Linked DNA regions of Kluyveromyces lactis. The main gene of each other region encodes a partner of the protein of the gene in region 5 in a complex. Links are inferred from orthologs where the notes say so. Each region holds a gene or a part of one and is shown on either strand. Other genes may lie near its edges.

Region 1 (2,657 bases), on a different chromosome or scaffold from region 5:
TCGGAAGAGGTTCTGTATTAATCTAAAGACGAAGGTTATTACTGTTTAAAATAGGTCATAATCGAATGGACATACTGTGAAGTATTGTGCGTATTTTTTTGACAACAGTTTTGGAGGTTGACGATGAAGGCTAGTCTTCTGAGAACTTCGAAATTATACAAGGGTCTTCATTCAATAACTAAAGACGCCATTTCGAAGGTGGACACTTTCCCCAAGAATAAGCAACATGAAACGCTACATCGGTTAAACTCTTTCAATGAGAATCCAACACGCAAGACCTTGGAGAAATTAGTCTATTCTGTTCATTTCCATTTGTTGAACGATCCTCCTAAACACGTAGACATATTGAGACAATACCCTAATGAGTTGGCAAAATTTTGGCCCTATGAAATGCAGCACTCGATTTTAGAAATGGATGACCCAAATCTAACATCTCAAACGATTTTATGGTCTCGTAACAATAAGGATGCTTTGGATTTCTTGAGCTTCAATCGTCATAAGTGGCTGCGGCCGAAAAACTGGCAGACTCCGAATGAGGAACTTATAAAAGATATCACAGGAATTGACGGTCTTCAATCAACTCAAATTACAGAAGTATTAAGACTCCCTGCAGAAAAGATAAAGGAGACACTACGGCAAATTTTCGAGCATTACTATTTCTTGAAGACAAATCCGAAACTATGCGCTACAAAAAAACTCCAGGCACCAATCGTTGAGATCGGAATGAAACCTGATGGTTTCGATATAGCCGACATCAGGATCGATAACTTGTTTAAGAAAAAGGTCAAGCTAATTAGTGACCTGCTCTACTCGCAAAATCCGGTGCTGACTTCAGATGCAGAGTCTATATTAACGTCAATAGTTAACGACCCAGATCTCAATAGGCGAACGAAAAGATTGTATAAAAATGTTGCCAGCAGATCTTACCTTTTCAAAGATGGGAAGTTCGAAATAAGTGAACTTGCTAGAGGCGGATTTGTCCTGTCGAAGGAAAATTTGAGCGAGAACTTAGCTGCTGCCCTTGAGGAAGAACATAATTGACTTATGAACACACATCACGTGATATATAATTTACCTACAGCTACCATTTTAGCTCAATGTAAATAGAAAACACTTTAATAATAATGTTAGCCAGGAAATGAAACCGCCAATACACTTATTGTAACAGACTAGTCTAAGACCGATTTGAAGTTTCAGCGGTTTGCTAGAAGCCAAGTTTGTTCGCTTCCACAGATGCTTTCACTATTTCCAACATCCATCGATATTTTCATACATTTACATTAGTCTCGAGAAAGAAAAAATTTGAATTCAAAGAAATCAAACGAAGAGAAACCAGGACATATTTCTTGAAGACGAAGTCTCCTAAAAGTAGTCGCCCGAACTACTCATTAGTTATCGATAAGGATTTAATTCGAAGTGAAGAACAATTAAAATAAAATCTCATCCAGTCGTTATGAGTTTTATAACAAGAAATCTTCTTCAGTGGACCTCAAAACGTACATTAACCAGTTTCTCTAGTTTCTCACCTTTAAGAACACTAGACTCACGTCTTCATAGACCTTTGGCGCAAGTCAATCCAATGGAAATCACTTTACAATCTCAAACACAAGCAAATGGCTCATCAATATTTGGTATGTTGTTCGATTTGACTCAGAGAAGATGGAAAAGTAGAGGTAACACTTTCCAACCGAGTACTTTAAAGAGAAAGAGAAGAGTGGGGTTCCTAGCAAGGGCAAGATCTAGAAGTGGACAACAGATACTTAAAAGAAGAAAGAATAAAGGCAGATGGTATTTGACTTATTAGTTCTGTTCAACTTTCCAATCAAACCAGGAACGTTATGGAAGCGCCTGATTATAAAGAATGGCTGAATCTCCTGTATATATATCCACATCGTCATTATGTATTTTAAGAAAACGGAACAGTTTTGATTTTAGCTTTGCCATCAGAAAGCTGGCATGACATTAAGATGATTCTATCGGATAGGTTTATAGTTATCAATTGCAGAAGGAATCTTTTTTCTATTAACGATTTCTATGTACATGGGCATTATTTCTGAAGTAAGTTTCATTCTATCTTGACAAGGACAACAATTCCAGTTATTGTTCATAAAAATTGGGTTGCTTTATTAAGCAAAGTCAATCACAATACCAGGACCGTGTGTACTTGTCAGCGTAGTTTGGGACAATATGCTTGGTTTTTTCGTTTGTTGATTGGTGATAGATTGTTTGAAAGCCTTCTGTGTTGCCAACAAGTTCTCTAGAACTTCCTTGTCAGTGAAATGGGTCTTGGCAACACCTAAACTAATACTGTTACCACGTTGTCTGAATGGAACAGAGCTCATACTATCTTTAATCAATGGCTCAAGATCTTCGGCGACGGTTCCCTTCTTGGCAGTTGGCAGTAAACCACGAGGACCCAAAATTCTACCAACTTGAGAAGCAAGTTGTGGAACAATATCTGGAGTTGCAAAAGCCTTGTCAAAGTCGATACTGACTTCACCAGCCTTGATTTGACTTACTAAATCTGAACCGCCGACTAAATGAACACTGTATTTATCTTTCATCAAAGCCGCTTGTGCCTCGTCATTAGTGAAGACAGCAACTTTCACATCTTTAAGAGGTTTGCCGAAGGAAACATTACCTGTAAGAGGGGGGAC
Region 2 (3,132 bases), on a different chromosome or scaffold from region 5:
AGAAGAGTTGAACGTGGAGGTGGCACGCAATTGGATCGAATATTTGAAGCCAATATTTGCTCGGTTCCATACTAAACCTGAAAAGGAATTAACCAAGATCTATAACAGTTTCTTGGAAGATCCAGAAATGCTTGCAGTGGTGTTAGAATTGAAACCGAAAGTGGTTAGTTTCCATTTCGGAGTGCCATCTGCGAGCACTTTAAAATCATTGAAGCAAGCGGGAGTTGTCACGATGGCAAGTGTGACTCAATTAAGTGAGGCTGAATTGGCTATTGGGCACGGGATAGATATCCTAATCGCTCAAGGTGTCGAAGCGGGTGGTCATCGGGGAATGTTTAACGCATCATTAGATCCGGCAATATCCACGAGAGATTTGGTGAAATTACTAAAAGCAAAGTTGGGCACAACTATTCCTATAGTAGCAGCAGGAGGAATAATGTCTGGTCAAGATATTAAAGGAATGATGGAAGTAGGTGCCAGTGGTGCTCAATTAGGAACCGCATTTGTCCAATGCAAAGAATCGGCTGCGTCAGAAAATTACAGGAAATTATTATTTGACAAAACAAGAAATGACATAACTCAAATCACAAGCAGCATATCAGGTCGTCCGGCGCGAGCTTTGTTGAATAGTTGGCACACTGAGGTGGATATTCCAACTAGAGTGATACATCCAGGGTATCCATTTACATACGATGTGGGGAAGCAGTTAAATGCCGTGTCTATTCCAGATCATGATGGTACCGCAAATTCTTTCGCAGCACATTGGGCAGGATCCAATGTCAGCCGTATCCGTGATATGGATGCGAGACAACTAATGCAAACCCTTGTCGATGAGATGAGATAATTTTCCAGACCGTTACAGCACAGAGCTATGCTGTTTCAAATGTACGAAAATCCCGAATAGCGACAAATTCCACAATGGAACGATGAAGTTACACTAATTGTGCATTATTCTCGTCAGTTACATGACTGCATTTATTTTTTCAATGACGAAGTAGAGTTGCATCTCTTCACAATTTCACTACGACCCTATAAATCCCGGACTACCTTTTGTAAGGAAGAAATCTAATCTTTCGACATCCCTCCTAGCTTGGACAGGAGACGTCTATAACGGATTACATTATTTAAGCATGATGTTGACGATAGCAATGACAGTTTGCAGTTCGAAAAGAAGAGCAGAACTCACCAATTCCTCTATCATTTTAATTTGAACAGTCACGTGAATCGACCTTTGCCTCATTCGGGATTATATATACTATAAAGAAGATATATAAAAAATTACCAATATACATTTTTTGCTGCCATGGAAAATATACGAGAAAGTCTTCATTCCCTTCTCCATTGTTGATACCGATTTTGGCACTCATACCACTTCCAATTACCATTCATACCTTCTTACATTGAATCTAACTATGCCTCTCGTCGGTTTATTGTACCAAGTATTGAAATTCGACGATACTGAAAAATCTGAAAAAAAATGAAAAATCTGAAAAATCACTGAAGATTGATATATTGTAGTGAAGAGATATATTGGTGGGAATGAATTCGCTTAAAGTGATTCGAATCCACAGCTCAGGTCATCACCAACCACTCAAAATAGCCATGTTGTCACTTTTGTTAAGAAGCCCAGTGGTGGTATCCCGTGTCTCATATGCTTCTCCGTTTTTGGTTAGGAGGTTTGCCTCTACGCAAATTGAGAGAACTGTCTCGGATGCAGTTAGAAGAACAGTAAAGCCTTTGGACTCTCGTAAGACTTTCCTAATCGACTCTTACAAAAACCTGATGGAAACCAGTCCGGTAATGTTGTTTTGTCATCATAACAATTTGATGAAAGGGGAGAATGCACACTTCAGAGAAGAAATTAATAAGGTAGGAGGCAAGTTAACAATCTTGAGAAACAATTTGTTCCAAGTATACTTGAGAAACTCACGCAAAAATGACCCAGCTGCTCCAGCGAAACGTTCAGAACAAGACTGGAAGCATCCTTTACTGCCCTTGTTCAAAGGTCCTACGGCAGCAATTTCGTTCCCAGAGACTGATCCGGCAAAGGTAAAAAAAGTCATGAAATTATTGGAAAAAGCCCAAGACAAGTTATTCGTTATTGGCGCCAAAGTTGAAAATGATGCGTACGATTTGAGACAATTGGATTCTTTCAAGGATCTACCAACAAAAAGTCAATTACAATCAGAATTACTGGGACTATTGCACGTCTTGAGCGGTGCTGGTTTAGTTCAAACTTTAGAAGCTGGCTCAAACATGTTGTACCTAACTCTAAAGTCTCACGAAGATAATATTAACCCAGATAAGCAGAAAAACGAGAATGACAGCGAAGGAAATTAAAGTCTTTTGCCCCATCATGAAATGTAATATAAATCATTTTTACGTATCGATGTACTTAAATAAACCCATCACATATTAATATAAACTCCTGTACATATTCTTTGCACGTGACTTTTTTTGATCTCATTTGTATATTGTAAAGAAATAAAAAGTTTTTGAACATGCACTGAATCAATTGAGTCGAGAAAACCTAGGCGATGAGGTTACAATTTTTCAAAGCAGTTACTTCCACCAACCGTTAATGTGTGTTGAATAAACATAATTGAATTCTAACAGTGACTCAAATTTCCTATAACTGCCTTTGTTAGAAAATATGAGTTTTAGTACTAGACGCCAGGCGTATCGTGCTGAGAAGCAAGATCATCGCAAAGAATTGAAACATGTCAAGATCGATGAATCTGTGATTGAAAAGGTGGATAAACTATCTTTACCTAAAAAAAAGTTTTACAGACAAAGAGCACATTCGAATCCATTCAGTGATCATCAGTTGGAGTATCCAATAAGCCCAGCTCATATGGACTGGTCAAAATTGTACCCTCATTTCTACGATAGTGAAAAGAAGAAAATGACGAAAGATGTTACCATTGCGGATATCGGATGTGGTTATGGTGGTCTTATGATCGATTTATCTCCAGAATTTCCCGATGAAATGATCTTGGGTATGGAGATTCGTGTTCAAGTAACGAATTATGTCGAAGATAGAATTATTGCATTGAGAACCAACCACGCGAAGGAAAACGGATATCAAAACATTAATGTATTAAGAGGTAATGCAATGAAATTCTTGCCAAA
Region 3 (3,334 bases), on a different chromosome or scaffold from region 5:
ATTGACTGAAAGTAAATATGGGCCTAACTTATAAGGATTTTTGTGCTGTAGGTACAGCATTGATCATTGGATCAACTACTTTTTTGATGGGGATCTTCTTTTCTAATCAACCATATGACTATAATATCCTATTCAATCCTGCTGCCACGCCGGAGCATTTTGAGAACGCTTTGAAACACTACCAGACTCTATTCTACACGGCCAAGCCAACCCTTTATATGCTTGGTGCGGTGGCCATTGTGGGAGTCATTGGTTCCTTGATTAGGGTATACAAGCCAAATCCAGATTTGCAATTATTTGAATACGGTTCATTGGCTTTGTACGTTTTGGGTATCTGTGTTTTCTTAACAAATATCAAGACCGGTGTTGAATCTGCGGTTTACCATAACTGGGGTGAAGTCTCTGAGGCGCAAGGTATTGCTGTTGTTGCCTCTTCCAATATCATTATTTTAATTGTCTTTGCTGGTGTCTTAGTGTTGCAAGGAGGTTTGTGGTACAGTACCTGGGAATATGAACAAAGATTAGATCAATGGAGGAAAGACCAATTGAAGGAATCTGCCGCTAACCAACAGAAGGCGGAGAAAACTACTGAACCAGCTAAAACGGAATCTAAGAAGAAGAAATAGACGAAATTTGTTTCCTTACAGTTTGATGCGGTGAAGTATTTCGCGTTGCTTTCACTATTTACAAGCTCTTGTTCTATATATTATATAAATGATATGAAATACTTGGCTATTCCGACATGGATAACTTGAGATGAAACCCAAAGACAATCTAAGGACCTTATTATTGATGATTTAATTGCTGTATATTATCTTCACCCATTATCATTGGAAATAAACGTAATATGATAATGTTTAATATCTCATTACCATTTGTAAACACCACCCATAGAACCTCTGATGGGTTTATCTGCTAATTGAACCCACGGTTTCTTCCTTTGTTCTTTTAGTTTGGCTTCGTGCTCTAGTCTTCTCTTCGTTACACTCTTGGTCTTCAATATGCATTTGATATGCACATATGGGTGTTCAATGAGACCACGTCTACCTCTACCCTTCCATTCGACACGTTTTTGCCAAAATCCATCACTGCCGGTCCATATCTGGGAGATGTATAGGTCATTGGCATCCAAGCCAAGCTTCACACCATCATTAATACCGCGCTCCAATAATTCGGCAACATCACGGGCAACCTTTTTATCGGAGAAATGACATTGAGTCAAAGCTTTCTTAGCGTCCAATCCGTTCAAAAGTCTAAGCAGCTGTGTGGCCTTCTTCATAGATGATTTTACTCTGTAAGATTTAACATAGACACTAGGTTCAAGCACTTCTAATTCTTCATTCGTTAATCTCAAAGAACGATCTTTAGGGCGCACGCTTTTGTCGTAAAACCCACCGTTCAACCTAACCTGTTGTTCATAGAATTCCTTCTTAACTCTTGGTAACAAAAATTCTGGTAAACTTTTGATCATGGGGTCTTGTTCTTCGATATATTTCTGTAATTGTGTATCATTGGCTGCTGTAACTTTCTTTTTAGCCTCTGCCAGCTGGGTAGCAGCATCCAAATCATCTGACAGTTCGGTAGCAGTAGTCAACTTATTAGATAGTTTATTTGGATCGTCATCCTTCAACGGATTCACTCCATCGGTGACTTCACCGAATAGCGAACCTTGTGCAGATTTTTGTAGCTGCAATGCTGAAGCTTGAAAACTTCTTACACCGGAAGCCTTTCCCAAGCCGAACAGGCTAGTTACTGTCCTCGATAGCATTAAATTTTATATAGGTTGAACTGATGACAGAGCCTGCAACTAACCATGTAATTTACACGTGCCTCTAGTATTATACTGTAGGCATTTTATTACTTTGATCAATCCTTCTTCTGTACAATGTTTGATTATCAAAATTTTTTTGTTCGATGGTTAGGAAATATAAATCATCGTGAACGGGCATGAAGATATAAGGAATGGTTCTACTGTGTGGAGGAAGATATTGAAGTCCGACTATCTTGACGGGTTGTAAGATCACAAATTAGAAAAGCGTTAGTGTGGAATTGCTAGGAATTAAACCTTAAATATGAACTATATAACTGAAGATGCACAAAGAAGTATATTGAATAGAAGGGAAAATTTAAGTACAAATTTGAAAACTTTGTAATTAGAGTTTGGTAAGATCAGTGTTCGATTAGTTCCGTTAAATATCCGTGAGCGTTCTGTGGGTTTTCATCGTAAGTAACTGACATTTCAGTGTCATGTGTACCCTCATCGGTGGAAGATGACACAAAGGATGAATGTAGTGATGTTGTGGAAGGCGTCTGAGACTCTGGATCTGCAATCGATACAACATATTCGTCGTCGAATGGATTTGTCGTCTGTGGCCTCCTGACAGAATCTGCAACATATGGAGGCACTGAGGGCAAACTTTTTGAAACTTTGTTATTATTATGAGCAGTCGTCGATACTCTGGTTGTAGTCTTGGTGGTTTGCTGAGACTGTGCAATAAACGTTCCGATATCGTCGTATCCCATTTTTCTCCCAATGTCGTGGGAGAAGCTCTTTTCGTGTTCGATAAGATTTCTCCTTCGTCTCTTCCTAAATAATAAATAGATCACCAGTATCATTAGCGCCAGACCTCCCACGCTTCCTATTACACCACCGATTATTGTATCTTTATTTGATCCAGACGATGTTGAGTTGGAATCCAATGCGCCAGATAGCCATCTTTCGTAAAAAGATGTGTCAGTCACAACTGGACCTGTAGGTGTAGTGAAAGTAGCCTCTGTGGGTATCACTGTAAGTGTCGGTAGTCCTTTAGTAAAGGTGGTTGAAGTGTCAGTAAAGATGAAATCTCGTGTGTAATAAACCACAGTTTCAGAAGACGGTACTTCAGTGGTCAACGTTAACCAAGTCGGTGTAGGCACAGTGGCAGTAGCTTCTGTACCCTCAACAGATGTGTATTCTTGGGTCGCGGTGTTCTCGGGATAAATTGTTTGCATTACTATGTTGCTCGGTCCTGAGCTCATCTCAAGTACCGTCACCATTGCCGTGTCTACATCTGTATGCGACGTTGAATCATCTGTTGACGGCGGTACCCAAACTGTAGATGGCGATACTATGCCAGGTGAATCCGAATCCGAATGTGATCTGTTTGGATATACCAGAACCGTCCTGGTCTTCATACCATGTGGCTGCTGCGTAGAATTTCCTGAGTCAGGGTTGATGTAATCCGTTCGTAAACTAGCAACGCTTTGTGAGAACGACTCCGAACTTTCTGTCAGTGTATCTGACGAAGAAACAACAGATGAATAATCAGTACCGTCAGTGGTAGTGTTGAACAAC
Region 4 (2,608 bases), on a different chromosome or scaffold from region 5:
GTGTAGTGAAATGCCATAATGCAGTCTCAAGTGCTTTCTTACAGAAGATCTTGGAACTTTGTACGACAGACGTCCACGATTTGGACGTTAGAGACATGGCCATGATGTACTGGCGGTGTCTATCGATCGACAACGGTGATCAAATCATCAACCAATTATTTGACAAGCATGAAATTCCTAAATTGCATTCTACCTTGGACCACTTCTCCAAGGAAACATTACAAAGTCTACTTCAAGAGCTCTCCACTCTATCCTCTGTGTATTTCAAACCAATCTCGCAGATGCAACGCCGTCCCAACGAAGTTCACATCATTAAGGATAAGGATATTGATGAATTAAAGGGAATGGCCACGAACGAGATCCTGAAAAACATGAACGATGATGTACTACTTGACATGGGTGATAGCTCTGCCACGAGAAGTACAGGCGTCCTGGACGAACTAAATGATCTTTTCGATATCACTGGTGATATGGGGAAAGTAAACATTTCACAGAAAACCAATAATAACAACAACAACACCTCGAATTCCCATGCAACCGATCTTCTAGACTTAATGTAAACTAGTTTACTCTTTTGAACACCTGTACAAACTATAATTATAATGGGAAACAATGAAGCAGATAAACTTCAATCATGGATGTGCCTTTCTAAAATGTTAATTTATTATGGTGCAGTATCTACTACTATATACAAGTAACCCCAGTGGCATGTCATGTCATGTCATATCATGTCAACTTTATTCCTTTTGTTTCTTGAGAAGATCCTCAAGTCTCTCAATCTTACGTTCCACTATCAAGTCACGTTGACGATCCAGATTAGAATCCTTCTGGTATGATAATATACATTTGCGCATAGCGTCACGAGGTTCGTTACACGCTGGGAAAAGCTTCAATCCATGAATCTTTGAACATTCGACCATGGCCTCCACGTATTCTACACATTGTGCATATGCAAATTTCTTCAAATTCTGACGAGCTTCTTTCTCCTCGGTAGGGTTCAATACCCAAATTGGTAATCTTTGATTATGCTTTCCAACGCCCTCTGACATTTCTAAATGAATAATCTATCTTTGTGGTGCAGTATTCCAGTACTATAAGAACTTCTGACCTATGGTTATGGACACAGCAGCAGCTACAAATGACAATACGCTGGCTGTTCCCCAAAATCGTTTAAATCAGTTGACATTGTTCATTTGCATAATGTTGAGATTTAAAGCTTTTTCATGGATACTTTGAAAAATTTCGAAGGTTTAAAAGATTTAATACCATGAATTACGGTGGGAAATTGGTAAAAGCCAGCCAGTAGCACCGTTATACAAACTGTTTAAGCAGCTCGTTAGGTTCTGTCATACCCGGGTCAATTGAATATCTTTGTTTCATAGAGAAATGTTCGGTGCATTCAGAGCTACACAACCTGCATTAGGTGGATTATTATGGAAAGTCCCATGGCGTATGTCTGGTCCTCAAAAAGCAAGACAAAGAGACCGTTTGAGAAGCGTTGATGATGTTCTTTCAACTCTTAAGTTAGGTCTTCATCTTGAAAGAAACCATATGGCGGTTTCTGAGGGATCTCAGCTGAATCTACGTAAGATTAAACCTCGTGTGAAGAGCTTACGTATTTTAGACAAGGCTCAGTATTTCCCAAAGGAACCGGAGATGTCTGCTACTGATAAGTACAGTGTATTCAACAGGTACTCGAAGGGATATAGAAAGGGTATACATAAAGTTCCCAAATGGACCAAGCTTTCCATCAGAAGAAACCCACGTCATTTCTGATTTGGATGAATCATCATTAAAAACTTCTATTATTACATAGTAAGTAGCCCCTGTACATAGTGAATAAAATCAAGGTATCATAGTTCATCCCAGATGTTGTGAGATGATGATGATGATGATAATGGACGGGCTTCATTCCTTAGATCGAGCAATTGGTCATTATATAGTGCTACGTCAAGGGAATGGAACAACTTCAACTTTAGCACACGTATCTTGTCATCTTTACCGATCGGTTCCTCATCAATCGTGTGGGCAGCATCAGTATCGTCATTGAGTAATTGTTTCTGTGTTTCTACGACCTTTTGAATACCCTCTTGTATCGTATCTCGAAGCTGGTTAATTTCCTGTACCAGTTTATCTATGTCTTGTTGCAATTTCGGTATGTTTAATTCGTCCTCTACGCGTTTCACTTGGCTTGTTTGCTCCTGAAAATTCTTTTTAAGTGCCTGCACTTTAGTTTGCTGTCTTTGCAGCTGTGATTGCAATTGTTTCATGAGCTCATTGTGGTGTGTTTGTTTCTCAGCCATCAATTTCGTGAGCTGTCTCATATTACTCTTGATCTCTTTAATATTAGAGACATCGCTTTCAATGATGAAATTGGACCGGGTTTGCTGTAAAAGCTCTACTGGATCATTGAGCCGTGACATTGGGTGCTGCAATATCCACTGTTGCTCAGTACTGTGCAGTACTGTTTCATATATCACATCTATTTATGATTCAATTCGATGAGATTGTCAATTGTGTTCACTTAAATCAAAACATTGAATCTTTAAAATTGCATCCACTAATAGCAGAGAACCTTTAAAACAGAAGTACCAAAGGATATTGCTCA
Region 5 (3,088 bases):
GTACTGATAAAACGAGAGCCCTTTTCTAGAGCAGATCTAATTTCTGCGATATGTGAGATTGGAGAAGGAGCAGATTTCTTGAACACTTGGACAATATTACCTGCAGAACGTTCTTGAGCGATCAAAACCTTTTCTGAACCGTTAATGATAAAGTAACCACCCATGTCGAACGGACATTCCTTCAAACGATACAAATCAGATTCTGTCAAATCGTCCAACAAACAGTACTTCGATCTCAACATGATAGGTACTCTCCCGATGAAAATTTTATTATTTTCCTCATTCTCTTCACTTTCCTCAGTGATAATTTCGTATTTCAAATCACGACCTGGAATATCAATAGCCTGATAAGTTCTCTTCTGAATTTCCACAAATAAACCTGATGCGTAAGTCAAGTTTCTGAGACGGGCTTCCTGCGGATACATCGCATGAGAAACACCATCTGACTCAGTCATGGATGGTTTGGCCAAATAAATCTTACCAAATGAAATTTCATACTTTCTGGAAATGTTGTCCGTTTCAGTGGTATGCTGTGCTAATTGTTCCAAAATCAAGGTACTGTCTTCCAAGATAAGATCCTGAATCGTATAGTTGATGAATTGGTTAAAAGAATCCAACTGCTGAGATACTAAACCTTTTTCTCTGAAGAAAGCGGAGATAACAGTCCACGAATCTTCTGCTGAAATAGCAGCTTCTTCCTCATCGTACCCATATGGATCTTCATCATAGTATTCAGTCATCCTTGGTCTGTATTAAGAATTGCAAACGTTAATAATCTACACTGACCTCACAACCGTGGCAAATAATGCGTACGTGCGTGCTTATTATTAAAGTACAGAATAACACTCTTTGTTGTGTTGCTCGCAACCTGAAAAGAAATGTGTATTACTGGTCAAACAAAGAAGAAAACACACCCCAAATACAAAGAGTTAAGGACTTACCCAATAATCCGAAACAAACCCCACTCTGACAGAAGATGATTAAGCCGACTGGTACTCTCTTTTCTCTTCTCTCTTCCAATCTTCCTATTAACGATCAATCGGTAATTACGTTTCGCCTCTCAAAACAATAATATTTCAATTTCAAGCTTCCAGAGTATTTTTTTTCTTCACTATAAAGAGAACATCATTTCCCACGTCACAAACGGGTAACAGCATTTATTCAAAAATTTCAATATATCAGGTCACGTGAAGATCATTTCCTACGCTCTGATTTTTCCAATAAAAAATCTTTCTTCTAAAACATCCCAGAGCTCTCCAGTTTTGTACGACATATTCTACGTTAGATTCGTGCCAAAATGTGTACTCATCAGCTTTTCTAATATCTACTAACATGGAAAATGAGTATTTTAAAGCTTTTCATTGAAATGATTTCGATTTTAACATTAAGATTTGTATGAAGATGAGGCTTCTAAGAGACGCATACAAGAACAGGATTATTTGGGACTTTTCAGTTGCGAGTGCAGAGCGAAGTGAAGTAGTAATCTTTGCGCCAGTGTTTCTGTTCAATATCTATAACAAATGCCTCGTTTTTTCCCATCTCTCAAACAGGGTTTGAGAAACCTTGCTACTGCGGTAGAGACGGAATCTACAGTAGCAGTCAAAGCCAGTCAGTTCAAGAGACCTCGTCAATCCGTACAAAGCAGAATCTTGGAGTACACTCGTGAAGCGATTAAAACTGAGAAACCACATTTTAAAGTTGGTGGTGCAGAGCTCTATTTTCCTAAAGCGAGAGTTATTCTACTAAGACCAAATGCTAAACACACTCCATATCAAGCGAAATTCATCGTTCCTAAATCGTTTAACAAATTAGATTTAAGAGATTATTTATTCCACCTTTATGGTTTAAGAGCGTTGAACGTTACTACACAGTTATTGCATGCCAGATACACTCGTGCTACGCCGGTGTCGCCCAGGTACCGTGGTCCTCAAATCAAGAAGATGACTATCGATATGGCAGAACCATTTATCTGGCCTGCAGAACCTGAGGACAAGAGTGCATGGAATACTGAGTTCCAAAAGGAATTGGAAAAATACAGAAACGATAGGATGAGACTAGGATCCGACGCTAACAAACCTTCAAAGGCATTCGATGGTGTATTGGGACCATACCAGGAAACTGCAAAACCTTTCATTCCTAGATTCCTTAAAAGAAGACTAGTGAATAAGAAGGCTAGAGAGGCAAAGAAGGAACAATATTTGGAGCAAATCAAGAAGGTCAGTGAAGTCCTTGCTAAAAGCACATGAATTTCAGAGAATTTATTCTTTCATGAATTAAATTCTAGTAAAAGTATTACATCCTGTAAATATAATGTATGAAATATAGTACTGATTTAAAAACTGTCATAGCAAAATAATATGACGACTACTTGTGAACATTTTCAATGTTTAAATGAGAAATAAGTTTGAAGAACACTATATGTATGTATAAAAGATAAATACATTGTGGTGAATATTAAGGGAAAGTTAAGTGCAGTATGTCCCAGTTTGAAAAAAAATGAAGCGAAAAAAGAGTAACGGTATAAGATTTCTATTTGATTCCTGAATTTCCGTTGTATTGATCTTCACGGTTCAGGATGGAAGGGTTCAATAACGGGCAGGTGCTCATTTAATGTCATACTTAGTCACTAAACGGTTAATCTTGTTTCTTTTTTTCCTGTTGCTGATTATACTAAGATTGGCATTCTAATGTTCTTTATAAGTTCCTATTCCAATTAGTACACGGAGTTTCTAGTTTTTTTGTTCCTGTCTAAATAGGAACAGGATAATGATGATAATGATGATGAAAATAATAATAATAATGATGATGATGATAATGACGATATGAACGAAGCGAGTTTCTCCCAGTTCTGGTCAATTAGACAACAGAAAAAAACATGAGATATTTTATCGCTTCTGATGTGAACCGGAGAGGCAGGTAGAGAATCTCCTGCCTCTCTGTTTTTGTTTTTTTTCCTTTCTATTTTTAATGTTTGATTCATTCATTTGACTCCCTTTCTTAGCTGATTTGAGCAGGTCCTGTGATACCAGGAATGCTTATTCTTAGCCTGTGAGTTACAGGTAGTTTAGGAACCACAGCTACGAAGGTA
Region 6 (2,771 bases), on a different chromosome or scaffold from region 5:
GATGATGATGGGATCGTGTCCCCTTATTTCTTAGTTCTTATGTATCGATGTTCCTTTTAACGATTTCAAAATCAAATCTTTGGGTCCACTGCTGCCAAGAAATTCAACATCACTCGAAATTGACAAAAAGAGAAGAGAGTAAACCACCTTGTTAACTTCCATCGTTGAACATTTTCTAAAGTCCTCCAGACTATGATGTACACACGTCTTCTATATGCATTGTTTTTGTTGGTCGAACTGGCGTTCGGAGCCAATTTCTACGACCGTGATGAGAATATCATGGAATTGACACCTTCTAACTTCGATAAAGTCATTCATAGGACCAATTACACCACTTTGGTCATGTTTTATGCTCCGTGGTGTGGTTACTGTCAGGAATTGAAAGGTTCCATGAAATCTGCCGGTAAAATCCTCTCTGGAATGGTACAAGTTGCTGGAGTGAACTGTGATGAAAGTGTGAATAAACAATTATGTGCACAGAACAGAGTATCGGGGTTCCCAACGTTAATGGTATTCAGGCCTCCAAAGATCAATTTGGATAACCCAAAGAAAAATTCCAATGGTGCTGCGTCACAGCATGCCACAGAAGTGTACAAGGGAGAAAGGAAATTGAAGCCCATTGTCGATTTCGCTTTATCTAGAGTGAAAAACTACGTGAAGCGGTTGAACCGTTACAGTAAGTTCGAAGAACTATTAAAATCTTCAAGAACCAGGTACGCTGTAGTGCTTATCTCAAAGAAGGAGAAGATTCCAACTTTATATAAATCTGTAGCCCTCGATTGGCTTGGGATCTACGATTTCTATTCGATCTGGGACGAGAAATTGCAAGGCGTGTCACAATTGAGTTTTGAGAACGATACAAAGAATTGGCCAAATACTGTTAAATACCTCCAATCGTTAGAAAAAAGTGAAACTGAATTACAATCGCCCAGAATCGTAGTGATAGATAGAGAAACAGATACTTATGACGAACTAGACATATTAAAAACTACAGATAAAAATGACATTGCAACGTTCCTTTCGAAATTCGAGTCAAAACCAAGGGAAGGTCCACTCAGTAAGAGACAAGAATACCTCAAATCTATTTTGAATAAATCAAAGTCAAAGAAGTCCAAGACTAAAAAGAACAAACAGAAGACTAAACTTACGAAGGACGACATAGTTCAGGATGAGTTGTAGGTATTTGTTAGTAGCTTGTATATAGATTGTGTTTAACATCCGGGTAACAGTAATATGAGCGATTGAAAAAAATTTGGCTCCAAGCTGAAATTAAACATCAATTAATCAAATCGATTGTCAAGCTAAACATATGATGAGTTAAAAGACAACTGACTGTCCCGAACTATCCCTTTACCTAAGTGATTACAGTTGAATAGCATCACTTAAAATTTAACTTTTTAGGTGCCACGTTTTAACCTGTCAGAAAGGAGGCAAAATAACAATATATTAGAAGTATGTCTCAAAAGGTAGGACATACTGGTTTGGCATTTGCCAGGATGTGGCATCATGTTGATATATCCAAGGACAAGAGAACGCTTGGTAGGGTGGCATCTCAGGTTGCTCTAGCGTTAATGGGGAAGCACAAGCCAGTGTATCATCCATCTGCTGATTGCGGTGATTATGTTGTGGTAACGAACTGCCAAGCTTTGCGTGTGACGGGGAACAAGATGACCCAAAAGACGTACTGGTCGCATACTTCTAGACCAGGTTCATTAAAGTTGACTACAATGGAAGACATGATCAGTAACAAGGGTTACAGTGAAGTTTTGAAGAAGGCTGTGTCCGGAATGCTTCCCAAGAATAAACTTCGTAAGATCAGACTTGCTAGATTAAAAATTTTCGATGGAAGTGAACATCCATACAAGAGTAATATCACCGCATTTGCTGATCAGCAACTAGAGCTGCAACACCAGAAGAAATAGTGTGGATGAATTTTTATGTGACTTCTTAATTTTTGAGAAGTTAACGGCAGCATGTGATGTAAAATCCCTGTATATATTATTATTCGATCTAAATGGTTCTCCTTAGTACGCATACAATGTCTGTCGTTTTTCACTGTACTAAACTCTTCCACTTTACTATGTACATATAGATTGTTATTTAGATATGTTAATTATCACATACAAATCACATACAAATCACATACAGAGATAGAAAAGATATTACATCGCAGTATGCCAAAGCATAATACTTTTGCCTGGAAGAAAGAACATTTAACAGAACAAAAACGAGAAGAATTAGGGAAGGATGTATTTCATATTTGATATTATTTCCCTTGCTCCAAAAGACGATCTACTTTTGCTTCCAAAGCAGCAAGAATTTCATCTTTGCGGGTATTTTCCTCGGTTAATTTATCAATATAGCTTTCCAACTTTAGAACTAATCCAGATAATGTTTCTACAGATTGTCTCAAATTGAGAGACTTGTTCGTAGATGCTCCAGCTGCTGCTGCTGCTCCAGCTGCTGCTGCTGCTCCAGCTGCGCCACCTGTATTCGGATTGGAAGATGGCTTTTCTTCGCTGTCTTCCTGAGAAGGGTTCACACGGATGTTTGTTTCCACGCTAGCCTGTGATGAAGCTTCGACCTTTGCCTCTGGAGTACTTTCGACTTTAGAAGAAGCTGAGGCCTTCGAGGTAATTTCTGTAGACGAATTTTCTTCCTTTTGCTGTGGAACCTCTTCAGCAGCCTTGTCAGGTTCAGAATCGGTGTTAGCTTCCACCTTCACAACAACTTCTGGTTGTTGTGATGCTTTCACGATCTTTTCATCCTCA
Region 7 (2,983 bases), on a different chromosome or scaffold from region 5:
ATCATGCGGACAAAGAATTGGTACAATACGATTGGCCATTCTGGAGTAAGCTGGTTCATAATTTTAGCGATATAGTCAAGGATGACTCAAAGAAATTAGAAACTGAAGTAGGGAAAGGTATCCCAACTCAAGTCCGTGGTATTATATGGCAGCTACTAACCAGTTCAAATTACAAGGAGATGGAGGAGTTATACTGTTCCTTACTTCTATTGGAGTCACCGCATGAAAAGGCAATCAAAAGAGATTTATCTAGAACGAAGTTCATCCCAGAAGGTAAGACAGATTCTTTATTCAGCGTGCTCAAGGCTTACTCTCTTTATGACCCACCAGTTGGTTACACACAGGGCATGGGTTTTATTGCTACTACTTTAATATTGAACTGTGAAGAAGAATGGCAAGCGTTTTCTCTATTAACGAAACTCATGAAAGTATACGGATTAAGGGATTTATTCTTGCCGGGAATGCCTGGCCTGATGTTGAAATTGTACCAATTTGATACACTTTTGGAGGAAAATGATCCTCAATTGTATAACCATTTGATCAGGCAGGGAATAAGATCTACAATGTTTGCAACTCAATGGTTCCTGACGATGTTCGCATACAAATTTCCCCTTGAATTCGTTCTCAGAATCATGGATATTGTCATACTTGAAGGTATCGAATCGATGCTAAAATTCAGTTTAACGTTGATGTTAAAGAACAGTCGTAATTTGATCATTCTCAGTTTCGATTCTCTCTTAGACTTCTTGAAGGAGGACCTTTTCCAACACTATGCTTCTAAGGAGAACCCAGAAGAGTACGATATTGATAGATTCATCTCTGATTCGTTGGAAATCAAATTAACTCCATTGCAATTGGAGCGTTACGTGAAAGAGTACGATGAGATTCACAAGTTGGAAACGGAAAAGGAACAACAATATGAGGAACAAAGAATTAAAAACAGACAGCTTCAAAAAGAGTTGAAGAAATTAGAAAATGACTATTCGCTATTAAACAGAGAGCATATCACTATTGCCAATGAACTAATTGAAAACAGACTTCGGATGGAAACTCTTCAGGACGAAAATAAGGATTTATTACTAGAGATAGAAGATTTGAAGAAACAACTGGAACGTGAACTTTATAAACAAACGTTACCTAATCCAGATGCTGAAATTCCCACAGATTTGAAAGCAGATTTGAATAGAACAATGGAAAGAAATCTGGAAGTTATGGACGAAAATCAAGAGCTCAGAACACGCCTTGACGAATTAGAAAAAGAGAACTATGAATTACGCACAGGTAAGACTTGGACCAAAGATGCCACCAATCCAAAGGGAAATCGTCTCGGGAATTGGGCTTTCAAATCACCATGGAAGAAATGAGAAAAATTGCAACAGGGACCTCATTCACAATATCCATCCAGCCGTACATATATACATACCCTTCATACATACATGATACCGCCAACCATTACGCAGAGGTGTATTCTAATCATAAATTTCCTTATGCTTTACCATTCTCGCTGTATACGGTTTTGATCTTTCCAAAGCTTATTCAAAATTTTAGAAAATAACGACTTGATACATGCACTAAGGTGAAGAGAAGGAGCTTGAACCTAGTATGAAGCTAGTTGGTCTAAGAGTCTCTGTACGTTCACCAATAAGCACGGAGATCGTTCATCTGGAATGAAGTTTTTTCCAAGTTCCCAAAGAGGGTTTTCCACTCTTAGCCACCTCCTCAGAGAATGGAGATTAGTTGAAAGCAGACAGATCCCAACTCCAAAGACGTATCAAGTCGGCGACAGCAAGCCATTATATATCCCAAAGGAGAAGAAGGAATTCCCTGATTATCCATACGGAGAATCTCCAATTTACAAACAGAGTAACAAAGGTTTATACGGTGCGTCTTTCATCCAATTCGGTAATAACATCGCTGAATCGAAGACAAAAACCAGGAGATCATGGAGTCCAAACGTTATTAGAAAAGGACTATGGAGTGAGACTTTGAACAGAAAGATTAGTATTAAGATGACAGCAAAAGTTTTAAGAACAATTACCAAGGAAGGTGGTATTGACAACTATTTGACTAAGGAAAAGGCCGCCAGAATTAAGGAATTGGGACCTACTGGTTGGAAACTCCGTTACAGACTACTGAACTCTAAGGAAAAAGCTGCCAATCCTGTACATAAGGACGCTGAGACTGTCACAGATGCCAATGGCAACGAAGTCACCGTATTGTACAAAGTTGTTGTCGATGGAGAACCATTGAGAATTACTGCTGGTAAGCGTAAACTATTGCATACCCTTTTCCCATTGGAAAAGATGGAACACAAAGCGGATGGATTAGATCTATCGTTTAAGAAATTCATGGACCAATTTGCTACCCGTGACGTGGCAGACATCGTATCGAGATTAAAGGCCTTGAATTTCGATTTGAGTACGATTACTGTATGAGAACTGAATAGATTTTGTTCCAATTTTATATAAAAGCTTGTAAACAATGAGAAAATAGATTCTACCATGAGCTGGGAGGATGCTTGAAGACTATGCGTTAGTTGTCCGACTGACCGATGCAAGAGTTAATCACCCACTGTTCAATTGAATTGAACGGTGTGCATGTGACTGTTGCACCCAGACATTATTGACTGTTGCACCCATACATACTCAATTTCTGCTGAAAATGAGAATGTTTCCATACTAGGAAATTATTTTCTCATGTCCACCAAATCCGCTGAGCTGACGGTAGGATGCACAGACACATCCCATCCGTCTTCGTTGCTTGCTTCGAGCTGGGCAGGGCCTGTCCCGTTTCCTCCCTAAGCTGGACTGCCCGGTCTGGGCCTGGACATTCCACCAAACTGGCCGCTGGACTGCCCACTTAGACCCCAGGCTAGGCATCTCATGGTTTCCATTCACTTCCCATACCCTCCCAAACACTCCTCCGGGTAATCATCCTCTGGAACTTCTATACTGCTACAGCTTTTCACAATTTTTCAAAGTAT

What was found.
Region 1: MRP20 (region 5) and MRX14 share a complex: the UniProt entries of both Saccharomyces cerevisiae proteins name them as parts of the mitochondrial large ribosomal subunit. The link is inferred for Kluyveromyces lactis from reciprocal best matches to the Saccharomyces cerevisiae genes MRP20 and MRX14.
Region 2: MRP20 (region 5) and MRPL11 share a complex: the UniProt entries of both Saccharomyces cerevisiae proteins name them as parts of the mitochondrial large ribosomal subunit. The link is inferred for Kluyveromyces lactis from reciprocal best matches to the Saccharomyces cerevisiae genes MRP20 and MRPL11.
Region 3: MRP20 (region 5) and MRPL22 share a complex: the UniProt entries of both Saccharomyces cerevisiae proteins name them as parts of the mitochondrial large ribosomal subunit. The link is inferred for Kluyveromyces lactis from reciprocal best matches to the Saccharomyces cerevisiae genes MRP20 and MRPL22.
Region 4: MRP20 (region 5) and MRPL31 share a complex: the UniProt entries of both Saccharomyces cerevisiae proteins name them as parts of the mitochondrial large ribosomal subunit. The link is inferred for Kluyveromyces lactis from reciprocal best matches to the Saccharomyces cerevisiae genes MRP20 and MRPL31.
Region 6: MRP20 (region 5) and MRPL23 share a complex: the UniProt entries of both Saccharomyces cerevisiae proteins name them as parts of the mitochondrial large ribosomal subunit. The link is inferred for Kluyveromyces lactis from reciprocal best matches to the Saccharomyces cerevisiae genes MRP20 and MRPL23.
Region 7: MRP20 (region 5) and MRPL24 share a complex: the UniProt entries of both Saccharomyces cerevisiae proteins name them as parts of the mitochondrial large ribosomal subunit. The link is inferred for Kluyveromyces lactis from reciprocal best matches to the Saccharomyces cerevisiae genes MRP20 and MRPL24.

Annotation. Positions count from the first base shown.
Region 1 is NC_006042.1:1,781,371-1,784,027, forward strand, and holds MRX14 (mitochondrial 54S ribosomal protein bL34m), read left to right. Parts: upstream 1-1,453; coding exon 1,454-1,804; downstream 1,805-2,657. Other genes in the region: GEP5 (Gep5p), read left to right, coding at 124-1,041; MRPL1 (mitochondrial 54S ribosomal protein uL1m), read right to left, coding at 2,127-2,657. UniProt on the Saccharomyces cerevisiae protein: Component of the mitochondrial ribosome (mitoribosome), a dedicated translation machinery responsible for the synthesis of mitochondrial genome-encoded proteins, including at least some of the essential transmembrane subunits of the mitochondrial respiratory chain.
Region 2 is NC_006037.1:292,537-295,668, reverse strand, and holds MRPL11 (mitochondrial 54S ribosomal protein uL10m), read left to right. Parts: upstream 1-1,602; coding exon 1,603-2,340; downstream 2,341-3,132. Other genes in the region: KLLA0_A03289g (putative nitronate monooxygenase), read left to right, coding at 1-844; TRM8 (tRNA (guanine46-N7)-methyltransferase), read left to right, coding at 2,654-3,132. UniProt on the Saccharomyces cerevisiae protein: Component of the mitochondrial ribosome (mitoribosome), a dedicated translation machinery responsible for the synthesis of mitochondrial genome-encoded proteins, including at least some of the essential transmembrane subunits of the mitochondrial respiratory chain.
Region 3 is NC_006040.1:701,889-705,222, reverse strand, and holds MRPL22 (mitochondrial 54S ribosomal protein uL22m), read right to left. Parts: upstream 1,769-3,334; coding exon 869-1,768; downstream 1-868. Other genes in the region: SHR3 (Shr3p), read left to right, coding at 18-626; TDA7 (Tda7p), read right to left, coding at 2,170-3,334. UniProt on the Saccharomyces cerevisiae protein: Component of the mitochondrial ribosome (mitoribosome), a dedicated translation machinery responsible for the synthesis of mitochondrial genome-encoded proteins, including at least some of the essential transmembrane subunits of the mitochondrial respiratory chain.
Region 4 is NC_006041.1:1,081,978-1,084,585, reverse strand, and holds MRPL31 (mitochondrial 54S ribosomal protein mL60), read left to right. Parts: upstream 1-1,386; coding exon 1,387-1,776; downstream 1,777-2,608. Other genes in the region: APL2 (Apl2p), read left to right, coding at 1-560; CMC1 (Cmc1p), read right to left, coding at 738-1,049; kinetochore-associated Ndc80 complex subunit SPC24, read right to left, coding at 1,854-2,423. UniProt on the Saccharomyces cerevisiae protein: Component of the mitochondrial ribosome (mitoribosome), a dedicated translation machinery responsible for the synthesis of mitochondrial genome-encoded proteins, including at least some of the essential transmembrane subunits of the mitochondrial respiratory chain.
Region 5 is NC_006038.1:504,616-507,703, forward strand, and holds MRP20 (mitochondrial 54S ribosomal protein uL23m), read left to right. Parts: upstream 1-1,520; coding exon 1,521-2,246; downstream 2,247-3,088. Other genes in the region: DNA-directed RNA polymerase II subunit RPB2, read right to left, coding at 1-740; sphingolipid homeostasis protein ORM2, read right to left, coding at 2,998-3,088. UniProt on the Saccharomyces cerevisiae protein: Component of the mitochondrial ribosome (mitoribosome), a dedicated translation machinery responsible for the synthesis of mitochondrial genome-encoded proteins, including at least some of the essential transmembrane subunits of the mitochondrial respiratory chain.
Region 6 is NC_006040.1:210,437-213,207, forward strand, and holds MRPL23 (mitochondrial 54S ribosomal protein uL13m), read left to right. Parts: upstream 1-1,454; coding exon 1,455-1,922; downstream 1,923-2,771. Other genes in the region: protein disulfide isomerase MPD1, read left to right, coding at 193-1,179; CRN1 (coronin), read right to left, coding at 2,267-2,771. UniProt on the Saccharomyces cerevisiae protein: Component of the mitochondrial ribosome (mitoribosome), a dedicated translation machinery responsible for the synthesis of mitochondrial genome-encoded proteins, including at least some of the essential transmembrane subunits of the mitochondrial respiratory chain.
Region 7 is NC_006040.1:1,064,413-1,067,395, reverse strand, and holds MRPL24 (mitochondrial 54S ribosomal protein bL28m), read left to right. Parts: upstream 1-1,667; coding exon 1,668-2,435; downstream 2,436-2,983. Other genes in the region: KLLA0_D12584g (uncharacterized protein), read left to right, coding at 1-1,364. UniProt on the Saccharomyces cerevisiae protein: Component of the mitochondrial ribosome (mitoribosome), a dedicated translation machinery responsible for the synthesis of mitochondrial genome-encoded proteins, including at least some of the essential transmembrane subunits of the mitochondrial respiratory chain.